2 linked regions of the Macaca fascicularis genome follow. The protein of the gene in region 1 binds, or shares a complex with, the protein of each later gene. Links are inferred from orthologs where the notes say so. Each region holds a gene or a part of one and is shown on either strand. Other genes may lie near its edges.

The links. The genes of interacting proteins can lie anywhere in the genome.
Region 2: the proteins of ESPL1 (region 1) and PTTG1 are in contact, whole or in part, in a cryo-EM structure (PDB 7NJ1), measured with the Homo sapiens proteins. The link is inferred for Macaca fascicularis from reciprocal best matches to the Homo sapiens genes ESPL1 and PTTG1. Residues at the interface, in NP_036423.4 of Homo sapiens: His402, Thr405, Val406, Tyr409, Ser461, Asn462, Tyr465, Tyr468, Arg505, Arg508, Glu512, Glu544, Thr547, Phe548, Arg551, Gln590, Lys593, Ala594, Val595, Arg596, Thr599, Gly600, Arg603, Gln634, Cys637, Tyr638, Trp683, Ile686, Glu690, Ile697; in NP_001269311.1 of Homo sapiens: Tyr111, Pro112, Glu113, Ile114, Glu115, Lys116, Phe117, Phe118, Pro119, Phe120, Asn121, Pro122, Leu123, Phe125, Glu126, Ser127, Phe128, Asp129, Leu130, Pro131, Glu132, Glu133, His134, Gln135, Ile136, Ala137, His138, Leu139, Pro140, Leu141.

What each region holds. Positions count from the first base shown.
Region 1 is NC_088385.1:60,087,436-60,097,137, forward strand, and holds the end of ESPL1 (separin), read left to right. Parts: intron 1-107; coding exon 108-269; intron 270-652; coding exon 653-866; intron 867-966; coding exon 967-1,157; coding exon of another isoform or gene 1,158-1,213; exon of another isoform or gene 1,214-1,242; intron 1,243-1,643; coding exon 1,644-1,771; exon of another isoform or gene 1,772-1,773; intron 1,774-1,907; coding exon 1,908-2,030; intron 2,031-2,863; coding exon 2,864-3,019; intron 3,020-3,705; coding exon 3,706-3,876; intron 3,877-3,999; coding exon 4,000-4,104; intron 4,105-4,276; coding exon 4,277-4,392; intron 4,393-4,572; coding exon 4,573-4,656; intron 4,657-4,803; coding exon 4,804-4,968; intron 4,969-5,263; coding exon 5,264-5,465; 3' UTR 5,466-5,629; downstream 5,630-9,702. Other genes in the region: PFDN5 (prefoldin subunit 5), read left to right, coding at 8,505-8,576, 8,777-8,879, 9,182-9,213. UniProt on the Homo sapiens protein: Caspase-like protease, which plays a central role in the chromosome segregation by cleaving the SCC1/RAD21 subunit of the cohesin complex at the onset of anaphase. During most of the cell cycle, it is inactivated by different mechanisms.
Region 2 is NC_088380.1:167,188,590-167,199,058, forward strand, and holds PTTG1 (securin), read left to right. Parts: upstream 1-3,883; 5' UTR 3,884-3,920; exon of another isoform or gene 3,921-3,951; intron 3,952-4,334; 5' UTR 4,335-4,345; coding exon 4,346-4,436; intron 4,437-4,746; coding exon 4,747-4,931; intron 4,932-6,193; coding exon 6,194-6,287; intron 6,288-9,326; coding exon 9,327-9,485; intron 9,486-10,195; coding exon 10,196-10,275; 3' UTR 10,276-10,333; downstream 10,334-10,469. UniProt on the Homo sapiens protein: Regulatory protein, which plays a central role in chromosome stability, in the p53/TP53 pathway, and DNA repair. Probably acts by blocking the action of key proteins.

The sequences.
Region 1 (9,702 bases):
AGGAAGAATGCTCTTTTGCTGACTCCAAGGGAGTGGATTACAGAAGGAAGAACAAAGAGAATGGCAGGGGGAGGGAGCACTGTGAAAAAGGCCTGCTCTCTCCCCAGGTAGGAAGGCTCCAGCGCCGGACCCTGAGGCAGCTTCTGGAGAATGGGAGCTGCTGAGGCTGGATTCCAGCAAGAAGGAGCTGCCCAGCCCATGCCCAGACAAGGAGAGTGACAAGGACCTTGGTCCTCAGCTCCGGCTCCCCTCAGCCCCCATAGCCACTGGTGAATATGCAATCCCTGATGTTGGTCACTTTGAGAGGGCTGAGCTTCTAGGACTTTTGACCCCTCTGTCTTTCCAGGCTGGATTCTGATCTGGATCCAGTAGCCTGTGAACCTGTGTTTGAACCTGTGTCTATGAGCTGTGTGCAGGTCACTTAACCTCTCCAAGCTTCTATTCCTTCTGTAAAAATGGGGTTTAGGGGGCATGGTGGAGTGAGTTGATGCCTGTTAGTTGCATGGCACCTCATTTGGCACGTTGCTCTTCATAAATGGTAGCTGCTATTTGCCATGTGGGAGATGAGATAGGGACTCTTCCTTCTTGGAAAGTTCCTGTCAACTATGAAATAAGGAATTCAGCTGTACCAAGTGTCCTGACATTCCTCTAGGTCTTTCTACCCTGGACTCCATCTGTGACTCCCTGAGTGTTGCTTTCCGGGGCATTAGTCACTGTCCTCCTAGTGGGCTCTATGCCCACCTCTGCCGCTTCCTGGCCCTGTGCCTGGGCCACCGGGATCCCTATGCCACTGCTTTCCTTGTCACCGAGTCTGTCTCCATCACCTGTCGCCACCAGCTGCTCACCCACCTCCACAGACAACTCAGGTGGGTGCCCACCATCCCCGAGACTCCTGCTGGGGCAGACTGGAGGGAGGGTCCAGACTTTGAAGGAAGGGGACCTCACCCCTCCCTGTGTTGCTTGCAGCAAGGCCCAGAAGTACCGAGGATCACTTGAAATAGCAGACCAGCTGCAGGGGCTAAGCCTTCAGGAGACGCCTGGAGATGTCCCCCTGGCCCGCATCCAGCGCCTCTTTTCCTTCAGGGCTTTGGGATCTGGCCATTTCCCCCAGCCTGAAAAGGAGAGTTTCCAGGAGCGCCTGGCTCTGATCCCCAGTGGTATGCGGGCAGGCTTCTGGCCGGCTCCTCTGTCCTCTTCTGCATCTTCTTACTGAGGAGCTGGGTGAAGGAGTTTTAGGCATTGGTTAGTTTACATAGATTTATGACCCTTATGTCATACCTTTTCACCTGTTAGCATCTTAAATCAGGAAGGTTTGTTGTTTTTTTAAACCTCAACTTTGAATTACCAGCAAATTCAGTGTCTTTCCTCAGAGGTGAGTTCAGATGCCTGGGGTCTTCTGTACTAACGTGAAACATACACATGATTTGAGCACCTCACTTTGTTAGTTCCTGTGAGAAACACAAAGTACAGGACATAGTCTCTGTGCACAGGGAGCTATTAGGCAAGGGAGAGCACTTTGACCTCCAGTGACCAAGGAAGCTTTCTTGATGCTGTCTTGAGTGATGGACAGTGATTGAGTGCCCAAGACAGAGAAGGGAATTCTTTCAACAGCTGAATGATTCTGGCTGTATCCTGTTTGTCAGGGGTGACCGTGTGTGTGTTGGCCCTGGCCACCCTCCAGCCCGGAACCGTGGGCAACACCCTCCTATTGACCCGGCTGGAAAAGGACAGTCCCCCAGTCAGTGTGCAGATTCCCACTGGCCAGAACAAGGTAGGATTCCTGGGCCATGGAGCGAAGTTGGGCTGGGTTGGACTTTGGGTCAAGCTGCTCACATTCTGTGTTGGGAGAGGGAGAGAGATGGTGATCACGTGGACAGGCAGAGCTCTCACAGCCCCATCTCCCAAAGCTTCCTCTGCGTTCAGTCCTGAATGAGTTTGATGCCATCCAGAAGGCACAGAAAGAGAACAGCAGCTGTACTGACAAGCGAGAATGGTGGACGGGGCGGCTGGCACTGGACCACAGGATGGAGGTGTGTGCTCCTGGGGTGGGGTCAGGCCTGCCCTAGGAACGACCCGGGGGGTCCCAGTGTCTTCTCTACCAGAGGGCCTGGGTCAGTGCTAAAGCCACTTCAAATCCTTTCTGGAAGTGTAGACCTAAATTTAAAAATATGTCACCGGCCGGGCGCGGTGGCTCAAGCCTGTAATCCCAGCACTTTGGGAGGCCGAGGCGGGTGGATCACGAGGTCAAGAGATCGAGACTATCCTGGCTAACATGGTGAAACCCCGTCTCTACTAAAAATACAAAAAACTAGCTGGGCGTGGTGGCGGGCGCCTGTAGTCCCAGCTACTTGGGAGGCTGAGGTGGGAGAATGGCATGAACCCGGGAGGCGGAGCTTGCAGTGAGCCCAGATCACGCCACTGCACTCCAGCCTGGGAGACACAGCGAGACTCCATCTCTCAAAAAAAAAAAATAAAAATAAAAAAATTAAAAAATTAAAAAAAATAAAAATATGTCACCTGGGGAGAACTTCAGAGCCCAGAACTTGAAGAATATATGGGAATGGATATTTAAAGATACGCAGAAAAAAAAAGGATTTAAACCCAACTATCAGCTTCCCAGTTTTAGCTTTCATTGCCCACCTGTTAATGTTTGTCACAACAGAGGGATAGATAATAGTCTATACTCTCCCAGGCTCAGAAAATGAAAAAAGTTTCTAGATTCTTGCCTTCTATGACTAACAGAAAGATACGTAAGACAGATATACACGTTGGAAAACGCACTTTCTCATCTCCAGAATGTCAGTGCCTATGAGAAAGAAGCTCAGTTTCCTCTCCAACTAAAGGGTCTGCCCTCTGCATTCAGGTTCTCATCGCTTCCCTAGAGAAGTCTGTGTTGGGCTGCTGGAAGGGGCTGCTGCTGCCGTCCAGTGAGGACCCCAGCCCTGCCCAGGAGGCCTCCCGCCTACAGGAGCTGCTACAGGAATGTGGCTGGAAATATCCTGACCCCACTCTGCTGAAAGTGAGTGAGGAAAGCAGGGAAGGGGGCCAGGCCCAGTGACTTGCACCTGTAATCCCAGCACTTTGGGAGGCCAAGGCAGGTGGATTGCTTGAGCTCAGGAGCTTGAGACCAGCCTGGCCAACATGGTGAAACCCTGTCTCTACGAAAATACAAAAATTCGCTGGGCGTGGTGGCCGGCACCTGTAATTCCAGCTACTCAGGAGGCTGTAGCAGAAGAATTGCTTGAACCTGGGAGGCAGAGGTTGCAGTGAGCCGAGATCGCTACACTCCAGCCTGGGTGACAGAGCGAGACTCCATCTACAAAAAGGACAGGCGCTGTGGCTTAGGCCTGTAATCCCAGCACTTTGGGAGGCCGAGGCGGGTGGATCTTGAGGTCAAGAGGTGGAGACCATCCTGGCCAACAGGGTGAAACCCCATCTCTACTAAAAATACAAAACTTAGCTGGGCTTGGTGGCACGTGCCTGTAGTCTCAACTACTCGGGAGGCTGAGGCAAGAGAATCACTTGAACCCGGGAGGTGAAGGTTGCAGTGAGCTGAGATTGCGCCACTGCACTCCAGCCTGGGCGACAGAGCAAGACTTTGTCTCAAAAAAAAATAAAGCAGGGAAGGGGAAGAAACTGGACTTAATCCTTTCCCAGCAGCCATCATGAATGAAGATGGTGCTCACCACCACTGTTCCCCTGCAGATCATGCTCAGTGGTGCCAGTGCCCTCACCCCTCAGGACGTTCAGGCCCTGGCCTACGGGCTGTGCCCAACCCAGCCAGAGCGAGCCCAGGAGCTCCTGAATGAGGCAGTAGGACATCTACAGGGCCTGACAGTACCAAGCAATAGCCACCTTGTCTTGGTCCTAGACAAGGTAAGGAGCTGGGGCAGAGGGGCAGTGTCTAGTGGGGAGTAAGTACCAACTCATCCCCATGCCCCTTCTGACTTCTGCATATACCTGGCTGGGGACAGTAACCTCTTAGTGCTTTTTGCCCAGGACTTGCAGAAGCTGCCGTGGGAAAGCATGCCCAGCCTCCAGACACTGCCTGTCACCCGGCTGCCCTCCTTCCGCTTCCTACTCAGCTACTCCATCATCAAAGAGGTGAGGTTCAGGGAGTGGTGTCTGGGGATGACTGGCAATTGGGGAAGACCTCAACAAAAGGGCAGAGAAACCTGGGAAGAGAGGAGAGGGTTCTAGGAATGGCTCAGACATGGAAAGGGGCTTGGGCCTCTTGGTGAGACAAGCATCCTAATCACCAGTGTCTCCTCCTCAGTATGGGGCCTCGCCAGTGCTGAGTCAAGGGGTGGATCCGCGAAGTACCTTCTATGTCCTGAACCCTCACAATAACCTGTCAAGCACAGAGGAGCAATTTCGAGCCAATTTCAGCAGGTCAGGGGCACAAAGACAAGAAGAGGAGTGGGGAAGGGTAGACAACATACAGGGGCAGCAAGCCTTTTCTCCAGAAACAGCTGTTGCAGCCCACCTTCTATTTAATGATCCCTCTGCCGTCTTTGCCATCTGACCCCTGCCATGCATTTCCCTATTCTCACTCCCGCCTTTTCCCTGCAGTGAAGCTGGCTGGCGAGGAGTGGTTGGGGAGGTGCCGAGACCCGAACAGGTGCAGGAAGCCCTGACAAAGCATGATTTGTATATGTGAGTGCTTAAGGCAGGGATGTGGGGAGAGGGCAGTCCTGAGGATGGTATCACCATGGGTCGCTTTGGGACTTGAGAGCCTCTGGAGACAAAGGCAGAGGCCAGGTACTGCTAGCTCAAGACTCATCTCACCTCCTTCTGCCTTAGCTATGCAGGGCATGGGGCTGGTGCCCGCTTCCTTGACGGGCAGGCTGTCCTGCGGCTGAGCTGCCGGGCAGTGGCCCTGCTGTTTGGCTGTAGCAGTGCGGCCCTGGCTGTGCATGGAAACCTGGAGGGGGCTGGCATCGTGCTCAAGTACATCATGGCTGGTTGGTGAGTCTCCAAGGGCAAGACCCATCCTAGGGCACTAAGACTCCTGCCCTCACCCCAGGTTCTTTCCCAGGTCTGAATCCTGCCTCTCTTGTGCCCCATTTTCCTCCTATCTCTAGTTCCCTGGCATGCCTGGACCATTTAACCCTTAGCTCCCGTCTATTCTTCTCTTGTAACCAAGGGCCAAAGGAATTTCTCATTGGTTCAGTCCTCTCTACTCACCCACCCCACCACCAATGGTGTTTTCCTATGTATTCTGTTTTAGAGCCCTTACTTTGTATTTCTTTTCTTTTCCCAGCCCCTTGTTTCTGGGTAATCTCTGGGATGTGACTGATCGTGATATTGACCGCTACACGGAAGCTCTGCTGCAGGGCTGGCTTGGAGCAGGCCCGGGGGCCCCCCTTTTGTACTATGTAAACCAGGCCCGCCAGGCTCCCCGACTCAAGTATCTTATTGGGGCTGCACCTATAGCCTATGGCTTGCCTGTCTCTCTGCGGTAACCCCATGGAGTTGTCTTATTGATGCTAGAAGCCTCATACCTGTTCTACCTCCAAGGTTAGATTTAATCCTTAGGATAACTCTTTTAAAGTGACTTTCCCCAGTGTTTTATATGAAACATTTCCTTTTGATTTAACTTCAATATAATAAAGATACATCACTTAAACCTTGTTTTGTGTAGTTTATCTGAGAACATTTAAAGACATGTCATGACTGCCCCCCTTCCTGCTATGTGGTACTGTAAGCTGACAGGAACAGCTTATAGGAGATCAAGTTTGAGTGCCTAGGTAAGAAAGACAAAGACACAGGACAAAGCCTGCTGGGCCTGGCTGGACCTCAGCAGACAAATCTGGAGGAGAAAGGGGCATCAAAATTCTAAGTAGAGACAGGCCCAATGAAGGGTAGTAATAGACCCGTTGAGTGTTTTGGCCAGGTACCATCCGTCCATCCTTTCTTCCTGCCTCAGGTATCCTTGGAGTGGCACTAGTGTTTTTTTTTGTTTGTTTGTTTTGAGACAGTCTTGCTCTGTTGCCCAGGCTGGAGTGTAGTGGCACAATCTTGGCTCACTGCAACCTCTGCGTGCCGGGTTCAAGCGATTCTCCTGCTTCAGCCTCCCGAGTAGCTGGGACTACAGGCACATGCCACCATGTCCCACTAATTTTTGTATTTTTAGTAGAGGCAGGGTTTCACCATATTGGCCAGGCTGGTCTCAAACTCCTGACCTTGTGATCCGCCCTTCTCAGCCTTCCAAAAGTGCTGGGATTACAGGCGTGAGTCACCGTGCCCAGCCATGGCACTAGTTTTAATGCCTCAGTTGCCCTGCCTCCCTCCTAAGTAGATGTTAAAGGCTACTGCTGTCTGCCCATGTACACATGTTACACTTACCAATGCGTAACTTTAGCAGTAGAGTCTGTGGATCTGTGGAGTTCTAGTGTGGTTTTTCTCTCCAGTTGTTAAGCTCAAGGGAAGCAAATGTCTTACTCTCACGTATTCCTCACATATAGCACATGGTAAAACTTTTTTTTTTTTTTTTTGAGACAGTCTGGCTCTGTTGCCCAGGCTGGAGTGCAGTGGCGCATCTCAGCTCACTGCAAGCTCCGCCTCCCGGGTTCACGCCATTCTGCCTCAGCCTCCCCAGTAGCTGGGACTACAGGCGCTCGCCACCATGCCTAGCTAATTTTTTGTATTTTTATTAGAGATGGGGTTTCACCATGTTAGCCAGGATGGTCTCGATCTCCTGACCTCGTGATCTGCCTGCCTCGGCCTCCCAAAGTGCTGGGATTACAGGCGTGAGCCACTGTGCCAGGTTTTTTTTTTTTTTTTTAGAGACAGAGTCTAGCTCTGTTGCTAGAGTGCACAATCACAGCCTACTACAGCCTCCAACTCTCCAGCTCAAGCAATCCTCCCACCTCAGCCTCCCGTGTAGCTAGGACTACAGGCATATGCCACCAGCCCGGCTAATTTTTGTATTTTTTGTTGAGACGGGGTGTCGCCATGTTGCCCAGGCTGGCCTCAAACTCCTGGGCTCAAGTGATCTGCCCTTCTCGGCCTCCCAAAGTGCTGGGATTGCAGGAATGAGCCACCATGCCTGGCCAAAACATTTTATTGATTAATTTGTGCTCTATGTGTTGACAATGGTGCTTCCTTGCTGTTCTCCCACCAACTCACTGGCAACGGGTTATAAACCCTTTTTCAGATCCTACTAGGTGTCAGCCTACTTCCGGCTGGGGGAAGATGGTCATAGCTAGAGGGGAAGAATTAGTTCAGTGATGAGAACATGGTTGGTTCCTGCCTTCAACAAGCTTTCAATCTAATGCCTGATTTTTTTTTTTTTTTTTTTTTTTTTTGAGACGGAGTCATGCTCTGTCGCCCAGGCTGGAGTGCAGTGGCCGGATCTCAGCTCACTGCAAGCTCCGCCTCCCGGGTACACGCCATTCTCCTGCCTCAGCCTCCCAAGTAGCTGGGACTACAGGCGCCCGCCACTTCGCCCGGCTAGTTTTTTGTATTTTTTAGTAGAGACGGGGTTTCACCGTGTTAGCCAGGATGGTCTCGATCTCCTGACCTCATGATCCGCCCGTCTCGGCCTCCCAAAGTGCTGGGATTACAGGCTTGAGCCACCGCGCCCGGCCATGCCTGATTTTTTCAAGAACAATTCAGAACGGTCTGACAAGGGATTTTTTTGTTGTTGTTATTTGTTTTTTTTTCCCTGCCTTTCGGCCTCAGAGGCCATCTGGGAAAAATAGTTTAGAATTTCCCTGCCATGGCCGGGCGCGGTGGCTCAAGCCTGTAATCCCAGCACTTTGGGAGGCCGAGACGGGCGGATCACTAGGTCAGGAGATCGAGACCATCCTGGCGAACACGGTGAAACCCCGTCTCTACTAAAAAATACAAAAAACTAGCCGGGCGAGGCGGCGGGCGCCTGTAGTCCCAGCTACTCGGGAGGCTGAGGCAGGAGAATGGCGTAAACCCGGGGGGCGGAGCTTGCAGTGAGCTGAGATCCGGCCACTGCACTCCAGCCCGGGCGACAGAGCCAGACTCCGTCTCAAAAAAAAAAAAATAAAATAAAAAATAAAGAATTTCCCTGCCATTTCCCTGCTGTGCGGGGAGGAATATTTGAAATCGGACCTGGCGGGGTACCAGCAGGCAGCACAAGCAGGTGGGGTAGAGAGGGGCAGGACGAGGCCCCAGGAGCCGTCACCATAGCAACCCAGCCTGCTATCTAGTAGCTTATACCACCCACGTGGAGTAGCATACACTACTTTGTAATATCGTGGTTGTATCGTGAGAACTTTAAGATTTTGCAGTTCCCTATGGGCAGGAGTCCTGTTTGCTGCTACTTTACTGTACTAGGCTTAGAATATTTTATGAAAATAACTGACAGATCAGCCTCTGAGAAATTCAAGCCCCTCCTTCCCTTCCGGGACGGAGGATCATAGAGCTGTATGGCGCAGCGAGGCCTCCTGGCGCCATCGAGACGCGCAGAGGACGGCTAGAGCGTTGCTCGCCGAGGGACTTCCTCTTCGTTAGTCCTCCTTCCCAACATGGCGCAGTCTATTAACATCACGGAGCTGAATCTGCCGCAGCTAGAAATGCTCAAGAACCAGCTGGACCAGGTAGTGACGGGCCCCATAGGCACCTCTTTCCCGCTCTACATCCCCCTTGCCCACGCGTACTTCCTTGCGCCCGGTCCCAAGTTGGGAGCCTACCTTGCCCAGGCGAAACCTCTATCCGGTCCCAGGACCCGCCCCCTCCCCGGCCGCTCTCCCTTTTCCCCATAGCCCTCTCATTGACCCGCTATACCCGTCCTCTGTAGGAAGTGGAGTTCTTGTCCACGTCCATTGCCCAGCTCAAAGTGGTACAGACCAAGTATGTGGAAGCCAAGGACTGTCTGAACGTGCTGAACAAGAGCAACGAGGGTATGGGGTAGGGGGGTGAGGGCAACCTAAAGTGGCAAGCCTGCTTCTCTCGTCCCACCTCCTAATCCAGTTTTTCTTACCTGAAACGAGAAAATCCATTACATATCGTATACCGCTTCATGAACCCTTTGCATGTTGCCTACCTAGAATTGAAATGTACAAGACGTTCCTCTGCTTCTATTGCCCCTGTTTCCGTTCTTTTCACACTGTCTGTGGGTGCTGTGCCCTCTTGGAACTCTCTTTAACGTCTTACATTGGAGCCACTAACCTTCCCCAGGTGTTTGTCTTCATTGCTTTCACAGGGAAAGAATTACTTGTCCCACTGACGAGTTCTGTATCCTTTCCACAGGAACGGCTACCTGCTGCCTTCTCCCTTTCTCCCTCACTCCTCCAAAAAGCAGGGAGGGGGATTGTTTTGATTACTTCAGTACTTCAGATTATCCTCTCCCCACAATGATTTTGATAACACCCTTTTTTTTTTTTAAAGACGGAATCTTGCTCTGTCGCCCAGACTGGAGTGCAGTGGTGCGATCTCGGCTCACTGTAACCTCCGCCTCCTGGGTTCAAGAGATTCTTCTGCCTCAGTCTCCTGAGTAGCTGGGACCGCAGGCACGCGCCACCACGACTGGCTAATTTTTGTATTATTAGTAGAGATGGAGTTTCACCATATTGGCCAGGCTAGTCTCGAACTCCTGACCTCGTGATCTGCCTGCCTTGGCCTCCCAAAGTGCTAGGATTACAGGCGTGAGCCACTGCCCCCGACCAAGAGTACTCTTATTACACACTTTGTAGCTCTTTTATCTAACTTCACACCAACATCCAG
Region 2 (10,469 bases), on another chromosome or scaffold:
ACACATCGTGCTCCCTGTAGACACTTGGCCTTTACACAAACCCCTTCCCAGTGGAAAGTGCTCAATGCCTGGGGGTCTACGATGCTTCTCAAAGGTGTTCTCTTCTCCTGTGTCTGACCTATAGAAAATCTCCCCATATATTTGTGTAACATATAAACTGATGGCCTGAATATACTGCGAAGAGAAGCAGAACAAAGGTAAATTTAATAATCTTCATTAAAACAGCTACCATTTCTTGAGCCTACCGTGCATCACCTCATCTAATCTTCACAATAAGCCCAGTAGATAGGTCTGATGAACCCCATTTTACAGGGAAGAAACAGGTTCTGAGAGGTAAGATCCTCAGCCAAGAGCATATTGTAGTAAGAAACAAGGACTTCAAACACAAGTCTGACTCCAGAGTCAGTTCTCTAAAAACAGTATGTTATACTCTGTCCATAGAACATTGGCTTCTGGGCCTGAAATATTAAAAACTAAAACTGAATGAAGTAATATAGTCACCAAGTTGTACTCACTCGTTTCCGTCGCTGTGAAGGGGCCTATTTTCTTCAACTAAAAACAGTAATAGCTCTCACTTACTGAGGGCTTACCGTAAGACAGTGTTTAGAGATTTACTTATATAGATGTTTTCACTTATATCCGCATGATACCCCACTGAAGTCAGATCATCTCGACTTAACAGGAAAAACTGAAGCTTAAGTAAATTTTTCTGGCGAGGAAATACAGTCTATCAAATTGGGTACTGGAAGCAGCTTTCCCCGCTCGCAGTCCGGGGATCGCTCAGGGTCTTCAAGGCCACCGCCACAAAGGTGACACTCTCATAGTTATCCCGACTGTTTCCCTGAAGACGCAGGCCTGGTCTGGCTGGGCACGAGTGCCATCAATGGGGCTCAGGACAGTGGCTTCCTTTTCGGTCCGCCGTCCTCGCTCCCTCCTCAACAACTGAGGGCTCATTACCCCCGTGAGGACATATCCAATAATTAGGAGCCTTCGACCCATTTTCTCAGGTTCCCCAATTCCCCTTCGCCCGAAAGTTCTAAAAATATTTTCTTACCCAGTCCCGCCGCAGCTGGTCTCAAGTCCATCCGAGACAAGCCAATCTCGTAATGTTTACTTCCGGCTTTTCGCCTCATTCCGGCGGCCACTGCGGTAACTTCCGGACGATCGGCACATGCGCACTAATTTCCTGGTGGGACGCGGGAGGAGTGGAGGCCTTTGGTCCTCTTGCGCCGTGGGAATCGCGAGAACTCTAGCTGTGCTTATCGCGCTATTTACCCGGCTTGTGGAGAGATTCAAGTTGGGCGGGTTCTTTTAGCTTCTATTTAGGAACTTTCTTTTAGAATCGGAGAATTTTAGGAAGTTAAAAAAAAAAAAACCAAAACAGACAAGAGCTTAAGCCTCACCAGGGGGCTGTGAAATGAATGCAGAATTTGGTGATGTATCAGCTTAAAAAAAAAAAAAAAGGCAGTTAAACTTGGCAGTAACTAGTAGCCAGGCTGTGTAACATGCTGGGGATCTGGTGAACACAGTGTCTTCCCTCAAATTTACATCAGAGTGCGAAAGACACCGAAACAACTATTCAGGTAATTTAGCAGTTGTAAAAGTTGCTATGAAAGGAATACCGGGTGCTGTAAGAACATAAGGCACGTTATCATTAGGAAAAAACACGACGATTTCCATTTTGGAGAAACATTAGTATCTATGCTATCCCATCCCTTCTTTAAAAGTATACATGTGAAATAAAATACTGGAAAATAAACTAATTTTCGTAGTAGAATTTCTTGTGATTTTTTTTTCTTTGTGCTTTCTATTCTGGTTGTTCTCCCCCTCCCCCCCCATAACGTGTATCGTTTTTGAATGTAAAAGTTAAAATAGCTACCATTCCTGCCTCAATAAAATAGCCCAACATAATAGAATCTATTTTTTTCGTATTAACAATTTGCAATACCTGGAGTTTAGGAGCATAAATATTAATTCTGCTTTTACAGGGCAGTAGATGAAGAAACAGAGACTGGCGTGAAAGTGAGTAGAGTCTATAAATCACTCAGGCTTTGTTTTTTTCCACTTAAAAACATTCCTGAAATTTGCTTAGGAGTGTTAAGGTCTAATTAGCCAAAACCACCAGGAGAGCACATCTCGAAGAAGAATCAGAAAGCCCAGGACAAGAGAGTTGAATCTTTTCTAAGACTTGAGGTCCCTCTGGAGGATTCTGAGGAAGGTCTAGGAAAGCCGGGATTGGTTCTGGATGGGTTGCTGTTTGTAAAGCAGGATTAGGAGAAACTGATTAGGGACTAAGTGCTGTTATGAGTGAGGGTGGTTTAGCAATTGAGTATTTTCAGTAATAGTAATAGCAAAGCTGGTCTGAGGGCATCATTAGTAAGAAAACAGTGGTTATTCAAAGAGAGGGTGGTTATGGTTTACAGCTGATGCATGGCCTTGGGAGAAACAATGCTTTCTGTTGGTGAAACAAAGAAGACATCCTAAGGAGATAAACCTTGCACCCCAAAACTTCTGTAGATAGAGAATCCCCACTTCGAAGCTATAGGTGTTGTAAAGATTTAGTCTCAAAAATTAACACTTTGAGTGCTGATAATATAATATGATGATGTAAAATTTAGGAGATACAGGAGGAAATAAGGGGTGGGAATAAAGGAAAGAGAGCAGTGAAGGGACAATAAAGGTATGCATATTTTTATGTCTTTCCTCTTTTCTTCACCTTAAGTTAGGCTCTTTTCTTCTTGATACCTAGTATAAAGTCCACCATTTAATAGGTATTCAATAAATATTTGTGAATGAATGAATCATTCAATCAATATTGGTCCTGAAATGCCAGGGAAGAAGAGATGATGAACTGGCATATATTGAGAACCATGTCTATGTCAGGTATAGTGTTAAGCCTTTTGTGAAAGAGTAATATGGAATCAACTCCTCTCTCTCAGCTGATCTGCAGGTATAAAATGTATATATGGTGACCTGTGGGAAGCCGAGTTTGAATGACACAGGTCAGCCCTATCTTTTGAATGTATACCTTTATCTTGTGGTTGTTCAGTGTATTCCATTTTACTATAGAAACAGGAAAAGGTCGTCAACTTTTTCAAGCAAAATTTCTTTTCATATCTGGGAAACTGGAATTCCTTTTTTATATCTTTATTATCTCTCTGATGTTCTCTTGCTCCCTGGCCAAGCTCTTCCAGACAGCTTTGGTTAGTGTATTATTGAGATCTTAGAGGTTTAAAATAAATCAGTATTAAATGATAGGATTTTAAGGGAAGACTAAATTATGTATTCATTAGAATCATAATTTTGTTCCTAAAACAGATTCGTGATGGTATAACAGAAACAGCATCTTAGCCTGAAGTATTGAGGATAATCCTCAGATTAGGGAATGATTAGTTCGTTCTTAATCATAAGCATAAGAGAATGACTCAAACGCTGCTGTTTGATCTATCTGTACTTAAATTTCTTCTTAATTTTAAATTTTTCTCTCCTAGTATTCTTTAGACCCAACGTTGGTTGTTTCGACCATTTCTACAATATTTCTATTTATTTTCCATCCTTTCTACGGTGCCATTTAAATAAATATATCTTAAAGCAATAAAACATTGTTATTGAGTCAGTACCACAGTCCATGCAGCTTAATAATATGGAGAGCAAAAAAAAAGCCTCTCAATTTTTTTTTAAAATATTACACGACCCTAGATTTTTTTCCCCAGAAAACGTGCCACAAAGTTTGCAAGAAAGAGCTTTTGGGGCGGAGTCCTGGCTGCTTAGGTCCCTTCCATTGGTTCGGCTTGGTGACCACGCCCCCGACCCCGCCTCTTGAGCGGAAGAGCCAATTGGGCCGCGAGTTGTGGTTTAAACCGGGAGTGCGCCGCGTCCGTTCACCGCCGCCTTAGACGAATGTAGCTGTTGGAAGCTGCGTGAGTGAACTGGAGGGTTGCGGCTGTTTAGGTGAGCGTGGTCGGGTGGGGAAGGAGGCGGGCTGGGGCTGGGCTGGGGCTGAAGCTGGGGCTGGGGCTGGGGTTGGGGGACTGCCTGGGGCGTAGATGGCTCCGAGCCTGTTTGAGCGCGGTCTCGGACTGCGAACTGGACCCACGGCAATTCTCTGAAGAGTGCCAGCCCCAAACCGCCTGCTCCTTGGGACCTTAGAGCCTCTGACTCAGGCTGGAAGATTTGAGAGCTGGATTAAGTACTTGTTGGCTCACGCCCGTGACTGTCCCGCTGTTTAGCTCTTGTTTTTGTGTGGACATCCCTAGGATAAAAACTTTGGTATGTTGCTATACCTTTGCTTCTCCCACCTTCCCCAGTATCTAATATGTATTTCTCATTTTTAGAATAATCCAGAATGGCTACTCTAATCTATGTTGATAAGGAAAATGGAGAACCAGGCACCCGTGTGGCTGCTAAGGATGGGCTGAAGTTGGGGTCTGGACCTTGTAAGTACACAAGGCTGCAGTCGGATACACTGCTATTGTGTACGTGGCCTGGAGCTGGACGAGACATTTAGTGTACTTTTTGGGCAAATGGAGTCAAGTCTGTTATTGGTCCTTTTTCATTTTCAGTATCTTAATGAGATGATTTATGGGAGTACTGAATCTCAGCTATTAGGCCTATCGTAGCCATACCACTACCAATAATGGGGGGTGGGTTTGGGGGTGAGAGTTAGGTCAAGTTTACATACACAGTATTCAAGTTGTACAGGTATTTTGCTGCTGGAATATTCTTATAGTAAGACTTTTTCTTCAGCAATCAAAGCCTTAGATGGGAGATCTCAAGTTTCAACACCACGTTTTGGCAAAACGTTCGATGCTCCACCAGCCTTACCTAAAGCTACAAGAAAGGCTTTGGGAACCGTCAACAGAGCTACAGAAAAGTCTGTAAAGACCAAGGGACCCCTCAAACAAAAACAGCCAAACTTTTCTGCCAAAAAGGTAAGTGTTGGCTATAAAGACACTGTTTAAACACTTAAGCGCTTTTGACTCTTAAAATGACGATTGGCATCATCCTACCCAGCTTTCTTCCCTCTGAGTAGAAGGGAGATAGAGGTTAGCAAGCAGAGTAGTGGAGGAAACTCAGATTGTCCTTGTGGACCTCTTGGTGCCTTGAGATTGGAAATCTCAGATGCAGCTAATGCATATTTGTCCCTCACCTGTCCTTAACTAGTGTCTTAAAACTGGTTGGTGGTATCTACTTACAGATACGTACTGAGCGAGAGGGTGCCTTAAGAGGTTCTGTTGCTGCTATAATAGCACAGGTGTTGCCATTCTCCGCCTAGCCTTCCAGGGCAAGCAGCAGCTTGTTAGGTGACAATTTGCTAGCATGTTGATGTTTGTGTGAGTGTGGGTCACAAGCTACAGGTCTGTGTATCCCAGACTGAGAGCACTTTGCTGTGAAAGATGACGTTAGCATGAGGATTAACACTTTATTTGAATAACTGTTTTGTTTAATTTGCATTAGGAAACAACTGGTGAATTACATGTAGTGCAACTTAGGACAAGGATGTCTTTTTAAAAAAGTGAATTAACTTAAAAATATTAAATACAGGAATTGCAAAGATATGGCAAAAACAATGAGACACAGAACCGAAGTGTGGGAACCCCATAGGGAGTTCTAGGCATGCTTATGTGAGGTGAGATAAATCAGGAATATGCCGGCTTCCATTGTAGCACCCTTCTGTAGTAGACTGTAGTAGACCCGTCAACTCCAGACTAGGAGATTGCCCATGGCGTTTTTCTAAAGTCCTTGACAGTGTCTTGCTGCCTCTTACTCAGTGTATTTGAGGAACACAAACTTGTTTTTAATATTAACCAAGTACATAATTAGGTAACACTTGCAGAAAAATCACACTCCTATAAGCCAAAAATGGCTTTGATGATTAGCTACTATCCTGGGTGATTCATGCCCGTTTTCTCCTCTGTTAGGTTGAATAATTGCGTTGATTAGCTCTGAATTAACTCTGCATTCTTGATAACTTACGCTGACAGGTGCTGGTACTTACATTTCAGATTTTAACTTTTGAGTCATGCTACTCGAATTACATTTGAATCATATTATTTGAAGTATATTTAGGTGTAATTATGAAAACTAAGGATTATGGCTTCTTAGAAGGCAGCATGAAATTGACAAATTTAAAAACTAATCAGCTAATAAGACATCCACTCTCACTAACCCATATTTTCTTTGGCTGTTCTAGATGACTGAGAAGACTGTTAAAACAAAAAGTTCTGTTCCTGCCTCAGACGATGCCTATCCAGAAATAGAAAAATTCTTTCCCTTCAATCCTCTAGGTAGTATCTTTTGTAATTGCAAAAAGTGCTTTTGGCCTTTAGTTTCTTAGTATTCAGCTCAGCTGTAACTTGATATGAATATAATATATGACCAAAAACTATAATGAGACTGTCTGAATCTGGGTCGTTTTGGACAAATGTACTTGTTGATGGAATTATTTGCAAGGTATCATCTTAGATCAGGAGGGGAATAGGAACAAAGATACAGAAGACATTGTTCCTGTCTGTAAAAGCTTATCACCTAGAGGAGGTAAGATGTATTCATGAATATTGAATAAGTCCCATTGTGGACAGTCTTTCTCACAAGCCTTTTAGAAAGTGAGCTTTATGTCAATGCCTGAGAGTGCTTTGGTAGGATTATTTCTTTGGTTAGAAAAATCTACATAAGACAGTGAAGACGTGTTTTTCAAATTTCTTCAACCTGCTACATGTATCTGAAGTATTTTCTGTTTTGGAAACAGCTTTTCAAGCTTTAATTTACTCAGCCATTTGAGGAGAAGCCACTGTGTGTCAGGCATCGCTAGGTGCTGGACACACTGTTTAACAAGATGGGCCCTGCCTATGGGAGCCCACAATTTGAAGGGAAAGTCAGATGCTGGACAAGCCATCTCACTGTGAGTGTGAGCCGGAAAAAAGAGCATTGTAGGTCAAAGTGGTGCAAAGATCCTGAGGTAGGAAAAGGGACTGAAGTGGTTCTAGGAAAAATACAGGCACGGTGAAGGAGGATACAGGTGAGGTGTGGGGGCAGATCAGGGAGGGCCTTACAGATTTCTGAGCTGGATCTTTTACCCTTTTATTTAGCCAAAGAGGTCATGTAGTTATTCTTTTACTAATTTGCATTCAGATTGTTCTGGCTTTTAGAAACTAGAAACATTTCTACGATTAGTATTCTTGAAATGATCTCGTTGCAAGTTTGTGAGTACATCAGGAGGGAAACTGAGAAGGATTGCTGGGTTCGAGGGTTTGTGTGATTAAGTTTTAAAATTATAAAATGTGGTGCATCGTGCTAATAATTATCATTCAGCCATTGGGAAAAATGAGGTAGATTTATGCATATTGATCAAGAATGAAGACCACAGTATCCTGTGTTAGAGGAAAGAGATATTGCTAAGTGGCCCTTCAAAATAGTGTAAATTGTTAAATCCATCTACAGTGGATGAAGATGGCTGCTTCCTCCATGTTCACTATCAATGTTTTAAAACTCTAATCTTTATCAGAAAAGAAATATTTTATTGTTTTAAATTTGTGTGGTGAGCATATTTGATTATTGGCCACTTAGTTTTTCTTTTATTAACTTCCTGTTTGTGTTTTTCTTTGATTAAAGAGCTCTTTGTAGATAAAATTAGCTCCCCTTAGATTGCAGACTTCTTTCCTCTGGAGTCTTTTGTCTGTTTATGATTTCCTTTACAATTCAGTAGTTTTAAGCTAAATAGTCACATATCATTCAATTCTTTCTTGACTTCTGGGTTTTACCAGGCTTGAAAAAGAGCAGACTAATTCTTGAGTACTTAGGCTTTAGAGAACTTTCATACCTAAGGACAAAGATTTAGAAATTAAAACTGAAAAACTTAAGATATTCACTAAGTAATCACATTACATTAATGTAAATTTTTTTTAACATAAAATATTTGTTTTGGAAAAGTTTTGAGAAGAATGGCATGGTTTCTATTTTTGAAAAATATATGAAGAAAACCTGACCTCACACAGATATGTTTTTAATAGTCTTTTCAGATAAGCGTGGATAGTTTTCTTTGCCACTACACTAAAACCCACAAGTGGCTGTTTCTGAATATATAATTGCAATGTGGAATCTGAAAGCATATCAATGAGCATTTTGTATCTTGACAGTAAAATCCATCGGTCTGTTTTGCACTTGGAGTGTATCTTTTATTCTTGCATCTATCTTGCATTGAGCATTCAGAAATATTGATTCACTGAGATATGTAGATACTCATATGTTGAGATTATATAATATCAAAAGCACATTAATATCACAACTGATCTCATCAGAAAAGTCTAAGGCACCTGTCAAGCTAATGACTGCAGTTAAGTGTTCCAAAATTCCTTCTTTTGGCCAGACACAGTGGCTCATGCCTGTAATCCCAGCACTTTGGGAGGCAAGGCTGGCAGATCCCCTGAGGTCAGGAGTTCAAGACCAGCCTGGCCAACATGGTGAAACCCCGTCTCTACTAAAAATACAAAAATTATCCGGGCGTGGTGGGCGCGCCTGTAATCCCAGCTACTTGGGAGACTGAGGCAGGAGAATTGCTTGAACCCGGGAGGCAGAGGTTGCAGTGAACAGAGATTGTGCCACTGCACTGCAGCCTGGGTGAAAGAGTGAGACTGTGTCTCAAAAAAAAAAAAATTCATTTTTTGGTTTTTGACAAAATTTTGACATTTTATATTCTGCCGTTGGTAACAAAGCCTGTCAGTTTTCCTTGAGGTGATGGACTTCTTTCATGCCTTTGAGAAAAAGTGTGACAGGCATCCAGGTCTGAGTGACCATGGGATTTCTTGCAGTTGTTAATTCAAGTAAAAACAGTATTCCAGGAAAAAGTTCTCTAGTTTTAGCTTGCAACTCAGACAATTGCACAAATCCTTTTGCTTTGAGATAATCGTATTTTGGTGTGCAGTGGAAGTGCTTTATGGCATACTTCTCATTTTATCACATAGAACATTAAAAAGACATCTTCTCAAGGATGGAGAGCTAATAAAATTAATACATTCTACTGCATATGGTGAAGTGACATTAAGTGAAACTGGCATTTTTAAACTACAAGTGCAGAAAGATGCAGAACATAGAGACTGCTCCTATGGTTTACTGTCACTGCCTTGATTTGTGTTGAGGCACCAGCAGCTTTATCCACCATTGCCTTGGTACCATCATCACAAATGTCAACCCAGTGGGAAAAGGTGTGAATATTGTCATGAAAATAGTTTTGACCTCATGGACCCCCTGAAAGTGTCTCAGACCACAAGGAGTCTACAGCCCACACTGAGAACTGCTGCTCTGACAAAAACACTTTCTCTCTGTAACAGACTTTGAGAGTTTTGACCTGCCTGAAGAGCACCAGATTGCGCACCTCCCCTTGAGTGGAGTGCCTCTCATGATCCTTGACGAGGAGAGAGAGCTTGAAAAGCTGTTTCAGCTGGGCCCCCCTTCACCTGTGAAGATGCCCTCTCCACCATGGGAATCCAGTAAGTGAGCAAGTGCCCTTCTAGAAGGGCTGCAAACAATTTGTTTCATAACACTTCCATTACCGTGGGAACAAAGTTGTGCGGGAGGTGAGCCTGTGAGTCATTTCTGTCCTTCAAATGACAAGGATAAGGTTTCAGAAAAATAAACTATTCTCAATTGGTATTGCTTTTTGGTCCCAAATGCCCCAGTAAAATTGTTATTCTGGAAACTGGGTAGTCTTAATTAAAAGATTAATTCTCACATCTTCTTAGGCTGTAAGTTGAAGCATATATAATAAACTTGTTTGGAATGATGATTCCATGTTATATCCAAAGCTAATATAAGATCCAAACACCTGTGCTGTGGCATAGACTGACAATAATTTCTTACTGCAGAAGGTTTGAGGTCTTTGTTTGAACGGGTAGTCAAAGCCATCATTATGTTTTCTGTTTGTTCTGATGTGGGATAATTTGTGCTAATAAGTTACATGAGTGAGACTGTTAGCTCTTACTTTGGTCTCTAAGAGATTCAGATACTTATAAGACTTACTTCCTAATGAAAGTCAATTCTGGGGCCACAGACATATTCCAAAAAGTGTGTGTCAGGAGGGGATGGAGGTGATTGATCAGACAAAGGGAAAAACATGAGTTTTTGACAGCTGATATCTATGTTGATATGGACAATGACTCAACGATTTGCAGAAATTTAATAAGAGATTCCTGTTTTCTAGATCTGTTGCAGTCTCCTTCAAGCATTCTGTCGACCCTGGATGTTGAATTGCCACCTGTTTGCTGTGACATAGATATTTAAATTTCTTAGTGCTTCAGAGTTTGTGCGTATTTGTATTAATAAAGCATTCTTTAACAGATTCTTCCAAGTATTGTGTTTGCTTTTCCGTGGAGTTTACTTAAAACAATATGAAAGCTAGCCGAGGTGTTTAACAAAGAGTCTATAATGTGACAATAGAGATTTGTCTGATTTCTAAAAACTTAAATCCTTTTGGT